Kluyveromyces lactis: one gene and its partners. The protein of the gene in region 3 interacts with the protein of the main gene of each other region in a pairwise test. Links are inferred from orthologs where the notes say so. Each region holds a gene or a part of one and is shown on either strand. Other genes may lie near its edges.

Evidence for each region.
Region 1: the proteins of ERV41 (region 3) and SEC26 interact in binary tests that used the Saccharomyces cerevisiae proteins (3 or more experiments, as listed by UniProt). The link is inferred for Kluyveromyces lactis from reciprocal best matches to the Saccharomyces cerevisiae genes ERV41 and SEC26.
Region 2: the proteins of ERV41 (region 3) and ERV29 interact in binary tests that used the Saccharomyces cerevisiae proteins (3 or more experiments, as listed by UniProt). The link is inferred for Kluyveromyces lactis from reciprocal best matches to the Saccharomyces cerevisiae genes ERV41 and ERV29.

What each region holds. Positions count from the first base shown.
Region 1 is NC_006039.1:1,329,014-1,333,157, forward strand, and holds the start of SEC26 (coatomer subunit beta), read right to left. Parts: upstream 2,915-4,144; coding exon 1-2,914. Other genes in the region: KLLA0_C15301g (uncharacterized protein), read right to left, coding at 3,170-4,144. UniProt on the Saccharomyces cerevisiae protein: The coatomer is a cytosolic protein complex that binds to dilysine motifs and reversibly associates with Golgi non-clathrin-coated vesicles, which further mediate biosynthetic protein transport from the ER, via the Golgi up to the trans Golgi network.
Region 2 is NC_006042.1:287,443-290,229, forward strand, and holds ERV29 (protein ERV29), read right to left. Parts: upstream 1,419-2,787; coding exon 501-1,418; downstream 1-500. Other genes in the region: ZUO1 (zuotin), read right to left, coding at 2,072-2,787. UniProt on the Saccharomyces cerevisiae protein: Constituent of COPII-coated endoplasmic reticulum-derived transport vesicles. Required for efficient transport of a subset of secretory proteins to the Golgi. The C-terminal di-lysine motif is required for exit from the endoplasmic reticulum.
Region 3 is NC_006038.1:449,589-452,891, forward strand, and holds ERV41 (Erv41p), read right to left. Parts: upstream 1,810-3,303; coding exon 1,779-1,809; intron 1,658-1,778; coding exon 663-1,657; downstream 1-662. Other genes in the region: GMC2 (Gmc2p), read right to left, coding at 1-418; SMA2 (Sma2p), read right to left, coding at 2,107-3,243. UniProt on the Saccharomyces cerevisiae protein: Constituent of COPII-coated endoplasmic reticulum-derived transport vesicles. Required for efficient transport of a subset of secretory proteins to the Golgi. The C-terminal Ile-Leu motif is required for exit from the endoplasmic reticulum.

The DNA of each region.
Region 1 (4,144 bases), on a different chromosome or scaffold from region 3:
AAACACGATCAACACTAACGATATTCATAGTTCTTCCCATTCTGGTAATATTGTCACCATTGGTTAAAGCTAACCCTTGGGTCTTTGAACGAATACGGATTTCACCAACAATTTCTTGTGTGATTGGATCCTTCTCTATGCACAGGTTAGCCAAAGCGTCCTCGCCAAATGTAGATCTAGAATATAAGTTACAACTTAGGAATCTGGAATCATTGTCGCCGAGTGCCTCTTCAGGGGTTAGAACCTTCATATGTGTAACTTCCACCAACTTCTCTAAATAACCGCGTAAAGATGGTAATTTGGATTTGATACGAAGTTTATTTTCCCATTCAAACGCATTCCACATCTTACGGAAACTGTTATCATCGCAGATTGCTGGTTTCACATAATCCATTGTGTCGATATGAACGTCATTCAAGATGACATAACGAGAATCTTGACCGTGACCACCATCATATATAATGTTACCGAAAATAACACCAGTATCTGCTGAGGACACCTTTGCTGTTATCGTAATTTTGTGGAACCCATGTGGAATAACGTTGGTGCTAGGTGGGTGGTCAATAATTTTTAAGTCACCAAGAGTAGCGAATTGAACATGTAGGTTTTTCAAAGTATCCTTGGTTTGGTTCACTAATAGAACATCTAACACAACATCGAATTGGTGATTAGTGATATAACACTCGGCATAAACAGGATCGCTGAAACCAGTCAATGGGACGATCTTCTTCAATTTTGAAGTGATAGAATTAGCTTGTAGTTTGGAATATGATACAGTACCGGTGGTAGCCAATTTTATATCTTCTTCGATTGAATCGACGGGGGTATTGTGCAAGCCTGCATTCTTAAATTGTCTGAAAACGATGGATTTATCGATGGCCTCGGCGTGCTTGGCTAGGTAGTTTGATCTCTTGGCAGCATTCTTCTTCAAAGTAACATTGACTCTTGATTTGTATGATTCGTTGGTAGCTTCCAAGAATGCCAAACTCAAAAGTTCTTTCTCTGCTTGACTTTCTTCGGTAGAAATCTCGTCCATCAATACCGAAATTGCCGTCATTAGTCTTTCAGCAGAGTCCTCGTCAATCTTCTTTTCTACTAAGTTACTTTGACCTAATCTGATGATACTAACCAAAATCAACAACCCTTCGGCCTTTAGGGCGTTAGTTACAGAAGTGTTCTTGGAAATCTTTTCGAATTTCAACACCAATTTAACGATAGAGTTAGCCAACACAGAGGCAGTAAAGAAATCTCCATTTAGGACGAAACGACGTAAAGGAGGTCTTGCTTCTTTTTCCTCGTTTGAGGTGGATTTGACCTTTTCTGAGACAGATAGAGCAGATTCGGTTGCATAAGTACCATCTGGCAAAACTACCGGCCCTGTGGATACTATTGGGGCCTTTTCAGTATCGTCTTCGTCATCATTTTGAACTCTTCTCAGTTCAGATTGAACAATTGGAACTTCACCTATACTTGAACGGATGTGCTTCCAGGTATTCTGGATTTCTGCTTCGGATTGGGCATGCTCACCTAGTACCCAAAGAGCACCACGGTAAGCCTTTGCTGACTTTACTTCATGCAATGTCTCAATCAAAGTAGTTAAAATCTCAGATCTTAACTCAGGATACCTTTCAATGACCTGTTTTGTAAAGGAAATGACATCATTGGCACTTTCAGACGACAAGTTACCGATAAAATCTAGAAGCAATGAGACAACATTGGAGGAGACTTCAATAAATCTTATTGCCACTTTGTTAATGGATTTGATCAATAATTGCCTGTACTCCAGAGTTTTATCGTTACTGCTATCAGCAGTAGATTGTAATTCTTTCCTCAATAACTTAACTACACTGTCTACGTTTCTGGACGTAATCAATTCTAAGGAGATATCCAAAGCCTTAGCACGGACATCCAAATCTTGTGCGTTCAAAACACGTAGAATATCCAATGTTAGATCCTCTAAAGAGCCTGGATTCTTCTCGTTTATTTCGTTGATTTTTTCTAAAACAACCAACTTGATGTTGTTATCAGATTCTTTTGTGGCCAAATCAATTAGCTTGTTAGCTACGGTCAATAAAATAGCTTCTTTATTGGTTAGAACAGTTAAAGTAATGGCAGCTTCGTACATGACATCCGTAGAACGAGTAGAAACTAAAAGATCTTGCAACAATTCAACATACTGAGAGACCAATCCTGGAGTTTTGATAGCATCCTTTCTAATGAAACTAATGAAGGCGTTTTGTAGCAAAGCATCCAAATTTTCAATCGAAGTTAGGTTGTCCTGTAGGTAGTTCAACGCAGCTTCACGGTCCAATTCTGCAAGACCTAGGAAAGCATTTCTCTTACAAATTGGATCAGTTTCTGCAACCAAAAAGGAATCAATCACTTCACAAGCATCAGGAATCAAATGGTCGCTGACTTTGTAAATGGAAAGAACTGCTAAGATTGCATACTTACGAACGTATGCGTGTCTGTATTCCAAACAAGCACGGACAGAAGGAACCATTTGCTCTAAAAGTTCTGCTTCTTTCAATTTCGTCAAGAATCTTAAGGTATTGCCCCTGATGTATTCGTTTGGATGTTGCAAATCATGTTGGATAGCGTTGCAGACAAGAATCATTTCTTGCTTCAATTTACCTTCACGATCTAATTTTGGAACAATTTCCCAGTAAAAGTATAAAAGCTTCTTCAATTGCTTGTTCTTTGAAGGCATCACAAATCTGATGATGTGCATCAACAAATCTGGTAATGGATTACCATCTAACATGGTCACCAAGATCCTCTTCATGGTCGCGATCTTTTCAGTATCAGACCCCTTTTCCAATGCCTTTTGGAAGTCTGATACGGTATATGTGACCCCATTTGGATTGGGGTCGTACACTAACGTATACGCAGGTTGTTCGACGCCGACTGTCATACCTCAATTGACCTGTGTGTCTTGTGTAGCTTCTTTTAACTTCCTGGTTCTCGCATATGTTATTTCATAACAGAACTGTTCCAAAACAGCATGTTCTTTATTTCAGAATCTCATTTTCGTCCTGAAAATCAACATAAAACAAAGTACGGGTAACAATGAATTTGACCGGGTATTAGAAACGTTAATATATACATTGGTACAAGATACGTATAGATCAAGATATAGATGCAGCAGTAATATTGTTTGAATGATAGTTTATTCTGAATCTGGGTTGGTTATATGCAATCCTGTTCCAGCGGTACCGCGGTAGTAACCGAAATCTGCTACGTCAAGCTCGTAATCATCGTCAGCATTCGAAATGCTAGATTTATGAGATTTGGGATTAGTGTCACCTTTTTCATGTACTGCAGGAGTACATGGCTTTTGAGATTCTTCAATCAGGTTATATTTCCGTAGATCTAGTGGTAGCTGTGGACTGTACGTTACGTCTAGAGTACCGCTTCTCATTCTACCAGCATTTCTCGTGAAATAGCTGGATACAGTATCTGATCTTTTCAAGCGCGTTTGGGAAACTTCGTCATGAATTCTTTGTTTTGGGTTCTCACGCAACGGTGCCATTAAATCATCGCTATCGTATGCCTCATCACCAGGAATATCATCAAGAATATCTTGGTCTGCCTCGGAAATTTTTTCATCCTTGTTGAACAAAGTATGAAATTCCTTAGTATGATCAACTTTTGTGGACTCGGTATTGAATTTGAGGCCTGTAGTACTGTTATTTTCCTCTTCTTCTTCCTCTTCTTTTGTAGTTTCAAGTGATAATAGCTTCTGTTTGGCCTTGCCGTGCTTTATACCGACTTGTCTAGTACTTGTTCGTATTGTAACTTTGATATTTTGTGGTTGTTCAAGAGTATTCTTGTTCTTCAAAGCATAAGGTAGATCTGGAGGCAACTGTAAGGAATTTGACGTGGGGAAGTACAAGAGCCGTAGCTCTTCTATGTAGCTTGAGATGAGTCGAACATTTTTATCTGGAATCGATCCCTTGGTCAAACTTTTCTTGAATTCTGATGACGGAGTCGTGTTGATGGTGTCGTTATCAATGGACTTTGCTTCCAGTGCTGAAGATTGACGAGATTCAGTATTACTTAATAACGAAGATGCTGCACCTTTTTTAGATGAAGATAAAGAACTGCGTCTTGCCAGCGATGCGGTTATGGAATTGGTATCTGT
Region 2 (2,787 bases), on a different chromosome or scaffold from region 3:
TGTTAGTTAAAGCTATAGCAGAATAAAACTAATATTATCACTAGGTGGTGGTCTTTTCGGGGTCAATTTGTACATGCATGTGTACTAAAGAATAACTATATAGTATTTGATTATCTTTTATCTTATGAGCTCGTGACAATACAGTACAGGCGAATAAAATGTTATTATTTAATATGGGGAATTGATCATTAAAAGGCGTCCGGCAATTTTTAATATTGGAAACTCAAAGTATAATTTTCAATATATATAAAAGTAACACTACGAAGAACCTGTTCCATAATTGCAGCATAATCAAATGAACTGAGAAATGAATACCGCTTTTATAGACGCCAGCCAATACAAGTATGTAATTACACATATTCTATTTTTAAATGATCATGCAACCGTTCAGGGCTGGACAAAATGAACTGAAGTTCACATATTCTAAATGGGAGTTTGATGAGGGCAAAAGAACTCTTTGGGATTTTAGTTTGCTTTGAAGAAATAAAAGCATGTTAACATCAGTAGATCTTTTTCTTCTCGTCAATTGACAATTGACCAGCACCAGTGTTGCCAATCAACAATAAACCTCCAATGATACTTAAGTTTTGATAGAATTCGTATTTCAAGAAATCTCTTTTGCTAGACCCATAGAACCAATAGTTGTTGACGGTAATGTTATAGAACGCTAGAATCAAACCTAAACTTATAGATGCGAACTTTGTCTTGTAACCAATTGCGATACAAACAGTACCTGCAATCGTCAACAAAACTGTCAACCAACTCTTAGTAAAAGTAAAGGTAATAAAGAGCAAAACCATTAGAATTCTTCCAGCCAATAACAAGTAATTTTTGAATTTACCATCCTTACTGTCTAATTCAGGTAGCATACCAAAGGTCATCCTGTTGGTAACAATACTGTCACCAAATGCTATCAATAAACCCCCAATGACACTAATGTTTCTCAAGACAAAAGATGATCCGGTGAACAGACCGTAAACCAAACCTTGTAAAATGACGGTACAAATCAATGCACTGGTGGCATACACGGTTTGTTTCCTCAAGATTAATAGCGTGGCGCCTGTAAACATAGAGATCACAACGCAAAATAAGAAGAAAACGACAAAGTAGTAAGGAAAATGTCTGTAGTTCCATAAATAAAACACTTGATCTGACCATTGAGCAATGATTCTCAACGAATCCTCATAAAATGTGGCAACAATAAAGAATCTAGCAATGATTGGGGTGTAAGGCCTAATTTTCAAGACCAATGGATGTTCCGTTAAGTCTTCAACCCTTTTAGCGAATTGTTCAAATAATCGCCTGTACTTGTCCTTAGCTGAAACATTGTGAGATTGTGACGCTTGGCCATACGATGCACCTTGGAACCCAGGCTTTGCTGTTGGAAACGTATCCAAATTGTTACCTCTAAAAGACATGGCTCGTTCAATGGTATTCCGCTTCAGTATTACCAATTAGAATTTTGCGCTCAAACAGAAAATACTATGCACAGGTATTACGGTGAGCTATACTTCCAAAACGACACAAGTAATGGCAGCTCGCAAAATAGGTTCCAATTCCTTAGATATCCACTACCACTGAACTTTCACTATGTTTTCACACCTGTTCTCGTTTGGTTCCAGTACTCTGCAAAAAAAAACTGATCTGTCTTTTAGGTTGGGTCCTTTTTTCTCCCACACTGTTATTGTTTTTGATTTTTCAGTACTGATCAATACTGGACGTTGAACTACCGTATATATATAGTATAACCTAAAATTTTCATACTATTTGAGGTTTACCACATCAGTCCATGTATGAAGCCCGATGCTACGATAAACCAGTAAGCGCTTGAAGTATTTGTTCATTTCTGCTTGCAATTCGGATTTTACTTTTATACCATCTTAAAGTCGGTATTTATATAAGCGATACCACTATCTGACTTTCCTGGAAACCGAAGTAATAGGTAGCTGTCAGATTTTACTGGTATATATATATAAATCGAAGGGTTAAATAGCAGAGCCAATGTCAGTAGACTATGTTATATGCTATATATTTCCTCTGGGCTGGTTTTGAACTGATCTCATCTTTAAATTTATAAGTAGTAAGAGACAATAGCAGCCGGTAATTTCCCAGCGTCAGTCAAAGCCTTTGCTGCATCAGACAATATGTTTTTAGCAGCAGCAGTATCACTCTTGATCTTTTCAGCAACGTCAACCAATTGTTCGTCGTCCAAAGAGTCGACAATCAAACCAGTTTGTTCCTCGATGGTAGTGGATTTGTCGGCATCACCAAAGTAATCAGCATCCTTTGGAGCGTTACGGATACTTCTCTTATTCTTCTTCTTAGCAGCCTTAGCAGCTTCCTTGGCCTTCTTTTTGTCAACCTTGGCAGATGCGGCTTGAGCAGCGTCCGCTTCAGCCTTAGCCTTAGCTTCAGCTTCAGCCTTGGCCTTGGCTTCAGCTTCGGCTCTAGCACCGGCTTCCCTTTCCCATTTCTTTCTTTCCTTTTCCTTCTTTTCTTCTTCCTTGAATTGCTTGATACGTGGATCTTCGTTCATGGCTCTTTCGACTAATTTCACCAAACGAGCGTTGTCAGCAGTCTTCTTCTTATCTCTGGCCGCCTTGTTCTTTCTTTCGATGTAACGCTTGTGATCTCTGTTGGAAGAATCATCAGGAACTTCTTCATCCAAGAACTCGAATGTTCTCCAAGAGTCGAATCTGTGCCAGAAAGAGTAGAACTTTTCAACGTCTTCCTTGGAAGTGTTCATATCACCCAAAGTTGGTACATCCTTCTTCTTGGAGAAACGAG
Region 3 (3,303 bases):
TTCTCGTGGCACCTCTATGTGAATCAATAGTAAATGCCGCCTCTTGCCACATGAAATGCTTCTTATATACCTCATCAAGTTCAGCTAAGATCTGTTCCATCTCCTTACTGTATTGATCCATTAATTCTGCAGAAACGTCGTACATCTGATCCCAATTTAATTGTGATATAGGACTCTTATCATTTTGATTCTTCACCAGACTCTTACTGATTTCCTTAACACTTTTCAAGAATTCATTCTGCAACACTTGCCTTTGAACCTCCTCTTTCTTCTTATCACTCTGCCATTCGGCGGCTAATTTGTGAAGGTCTAAAGGGAGAGCATTCGTGGAACAAGGGGATGCTGTTTTTGGATCAACATTTGAAGCTTTGTCGATATAGTTAGCAGTGTCTGAAAGGGATGATAAGTTGTTAGGCATTGGTCTCTTGATAATCGTTGTTTTATGAAATCAAGTCGAAGTCACATGAGTGAAGCACATAATTAAAAGTTACTGTTTTTCTATTTTGCATTTATCGACAGGTACGTAATTATAACCAAAGAGAGATTTGAACCAATTGAAAATGAACCACTTTAATATGCCTTCATACCATCTATTTATGCTACGTTATCCAACTGGTTTATAACAGTTGAAAGTTCTTTGGTAATCAGTCTTTTTAGATAAATTATTCATCTAAAAGCCCATGAGATGGACTTTGATCTTTTGAATAGTGAAGAGACCACTTAGGACCAAGAGCTAGGACTAGTGACTTGTCTACAAGTCTGAAAATCCAAGATGCCGTGTAAACGATGAATGACAGGATTGCAACGAGTCTGATAATAAACTGGAAGAATCCAATACGCATATCACTGATGATTATCTTCATGGGTTCGAATTGATACCTAATGAAGATACCAGGAACCCCGGTAGCTTTACTAGATTCTCCGTACTCTGTTTCACTCAAAGCATATTGATTGGTATCTACTTCGGCACCCATTTTTTTGTAAAGTGTTGGTACTATCGAGGTAAAGTAGTAATATGCTTTGATCTTCTCATCCGAAAATTTGGCGGTGTTATCTAAAGGATTGTCAATGTAAGGATAAAAGTCACCGAAGGAAAGTTCGTTTATTACATGATTGAAATTTATTTGGTCCTTTGGAATGGCAGAGGCAGACCGGTAACCCCAACCGTGAGCGGTGATATGTAATTCACCTTTCACTTTATTGACAGGAACTGAACCAAATATGTGACACCCATTAAAATCATCTCTTCCAGTTAACTCAGACGTATCAATAGCCTCCCTGAACTGGGCTGGGATCGCTTCGCCAAGTATTTCGTCGAGGTCCGGTGAAACAATATTGTTCATCTCATTTACTCTTGTGCCCACAGGGATGTAAAATGGCATTCCTTCCATTTGAATGTTCTCTGATATGAGTCCACGGTCGCCAGTAATATCTCTAGCATTAATTCTAATGTTTTTACATGCCATATTCACGTAGAGATCCAAGTTAATAGTAACGGTTTCCTTGATTTGGTCGTCCACGACATATTGCTGATCAATGTAACCTCCAAAAAAGCTACCAAATTCGGACCATGCGATGAATAAGAGAAACAAATATGTCAAAATGGAGCTAAGGCCACCCTTGGATGAAGTCTTCACATGCTGTTCATCGGTTTTAGCTGGTGATAAAGAAATGCAACGCATAGGTTTGGTATGCATGTTAGTATACTCATATAATTTGAGAAGGCCCTTTTTATTTCAAACATGGGGCCTCTATAAATAGGAGAAAAAAGAACTTACGGAACGCATCAAATGTCCTAAGACCTGCCATTGCTGAGAATAATTTTTGACCGTTGCCCGTTAGCTGGTACAGACACTGAATGTTTTTTATGCATCTTTAACATTCAATTCAGTTACTTAACTTAAATGTTCCACTATTAGATTTCACCATGAAATTTCGAAATTTCATATTGGATAGTGAAGTGGAAACTTTCCGATACTGAGAACACGCCGATCGTTTTGGGATTAAGTAGGAAGCTATGAGGGCGGTAGATTTGTAGGCGCTAAGGCCTATGAAAAGCTCTTGATATATGGACGGTTTATAAAAGACTATATTTAGTGTTCATATCTACACAGTGAGCAGGAATCCATCGACTGCAGTAGTCCCACTAGCAGGATTTAGCGCGCTGTAATTATCCTCAGTATCTTTTTCTTCTTCATCTTCTACGGCTGTTGATTGTGTTTCGCTCATTACTGATGCAGACATGGCTGAGTGTGGTGTCATCCATTTGAAACATAGCACCGCAAATATTAGCTCCACAAAGAACCTCGCGATGTGGAACCATGCACCCGTTCCGAGAGACGCGTGGATAATTTGTAGTCTTTTGTAACGGAAACAATTAATCATGAAGGTAAGCAGCAATATGTGAAGAATATAGATGAAAGTAATTGTTGCATTGCAAATACTCAGACACCGAGTTATTGAGCAGATTGAATTGATATTCCAATTCAATTGCTTGATTGGACTTTGTGTCTTTTTGTGTTCGATTTGCATCCACATCCAGAAAAGAAGAAGCATCAAACATAGAGATGCTAAGATGCAGTTAGCTACTACTGTCCATTTCAACACAACATTGACAGCATCATAAATGTTTATCAACCATAGTCTTGTTTTCCATTGTTCCATTTCGTTCGGATCATTTGGGGTGATCATTTTCAATAAAGTGTTTCCTCTTTTATCATCCTCTAAAAATTTATTGAAGGAATTGATTAACGTCTGGTATATGATCCAGAACGAATCACCAGTTATCTTTACATTAGTCTCCGATAAAACCCCGAATTGAAAGCCCAAATCACGAATTAGAACGGATATTATATTTAGCCCGTTTGTGTTATCTATACAGTAATGGTTTAGCTTCTCATCTTGGGCCTGATGTTTACAATAACCGAAGGCATTCACATAATACGTATTTGATGGATGAAATATGTTTATCAAATTTGATTGATTATATCTATCTTGCAACTCACTCAAATCTATTCCCCAGTTGAAATCCAATGTAAAAAACGATAATAGAGAAAAAAACTCCTTTACGGTGCTGAATAGCACCTTAGAGGTTGGAGTGTCGTCTTTGAAATGGAACACATATTGAGGCATGCATATTGGAAGATTTGCTGATGAGGTACACGTAAAATTGGATAAATGAGAAAACCACACTAATAATGAGAACGAAATTAAAATGATAAAAGAGATGTATTTGAATCTCATAGCGGCACCTCACGGAGGTAAACGATATGCTCCTAGAAATAAATAAGAAAGCACATATAG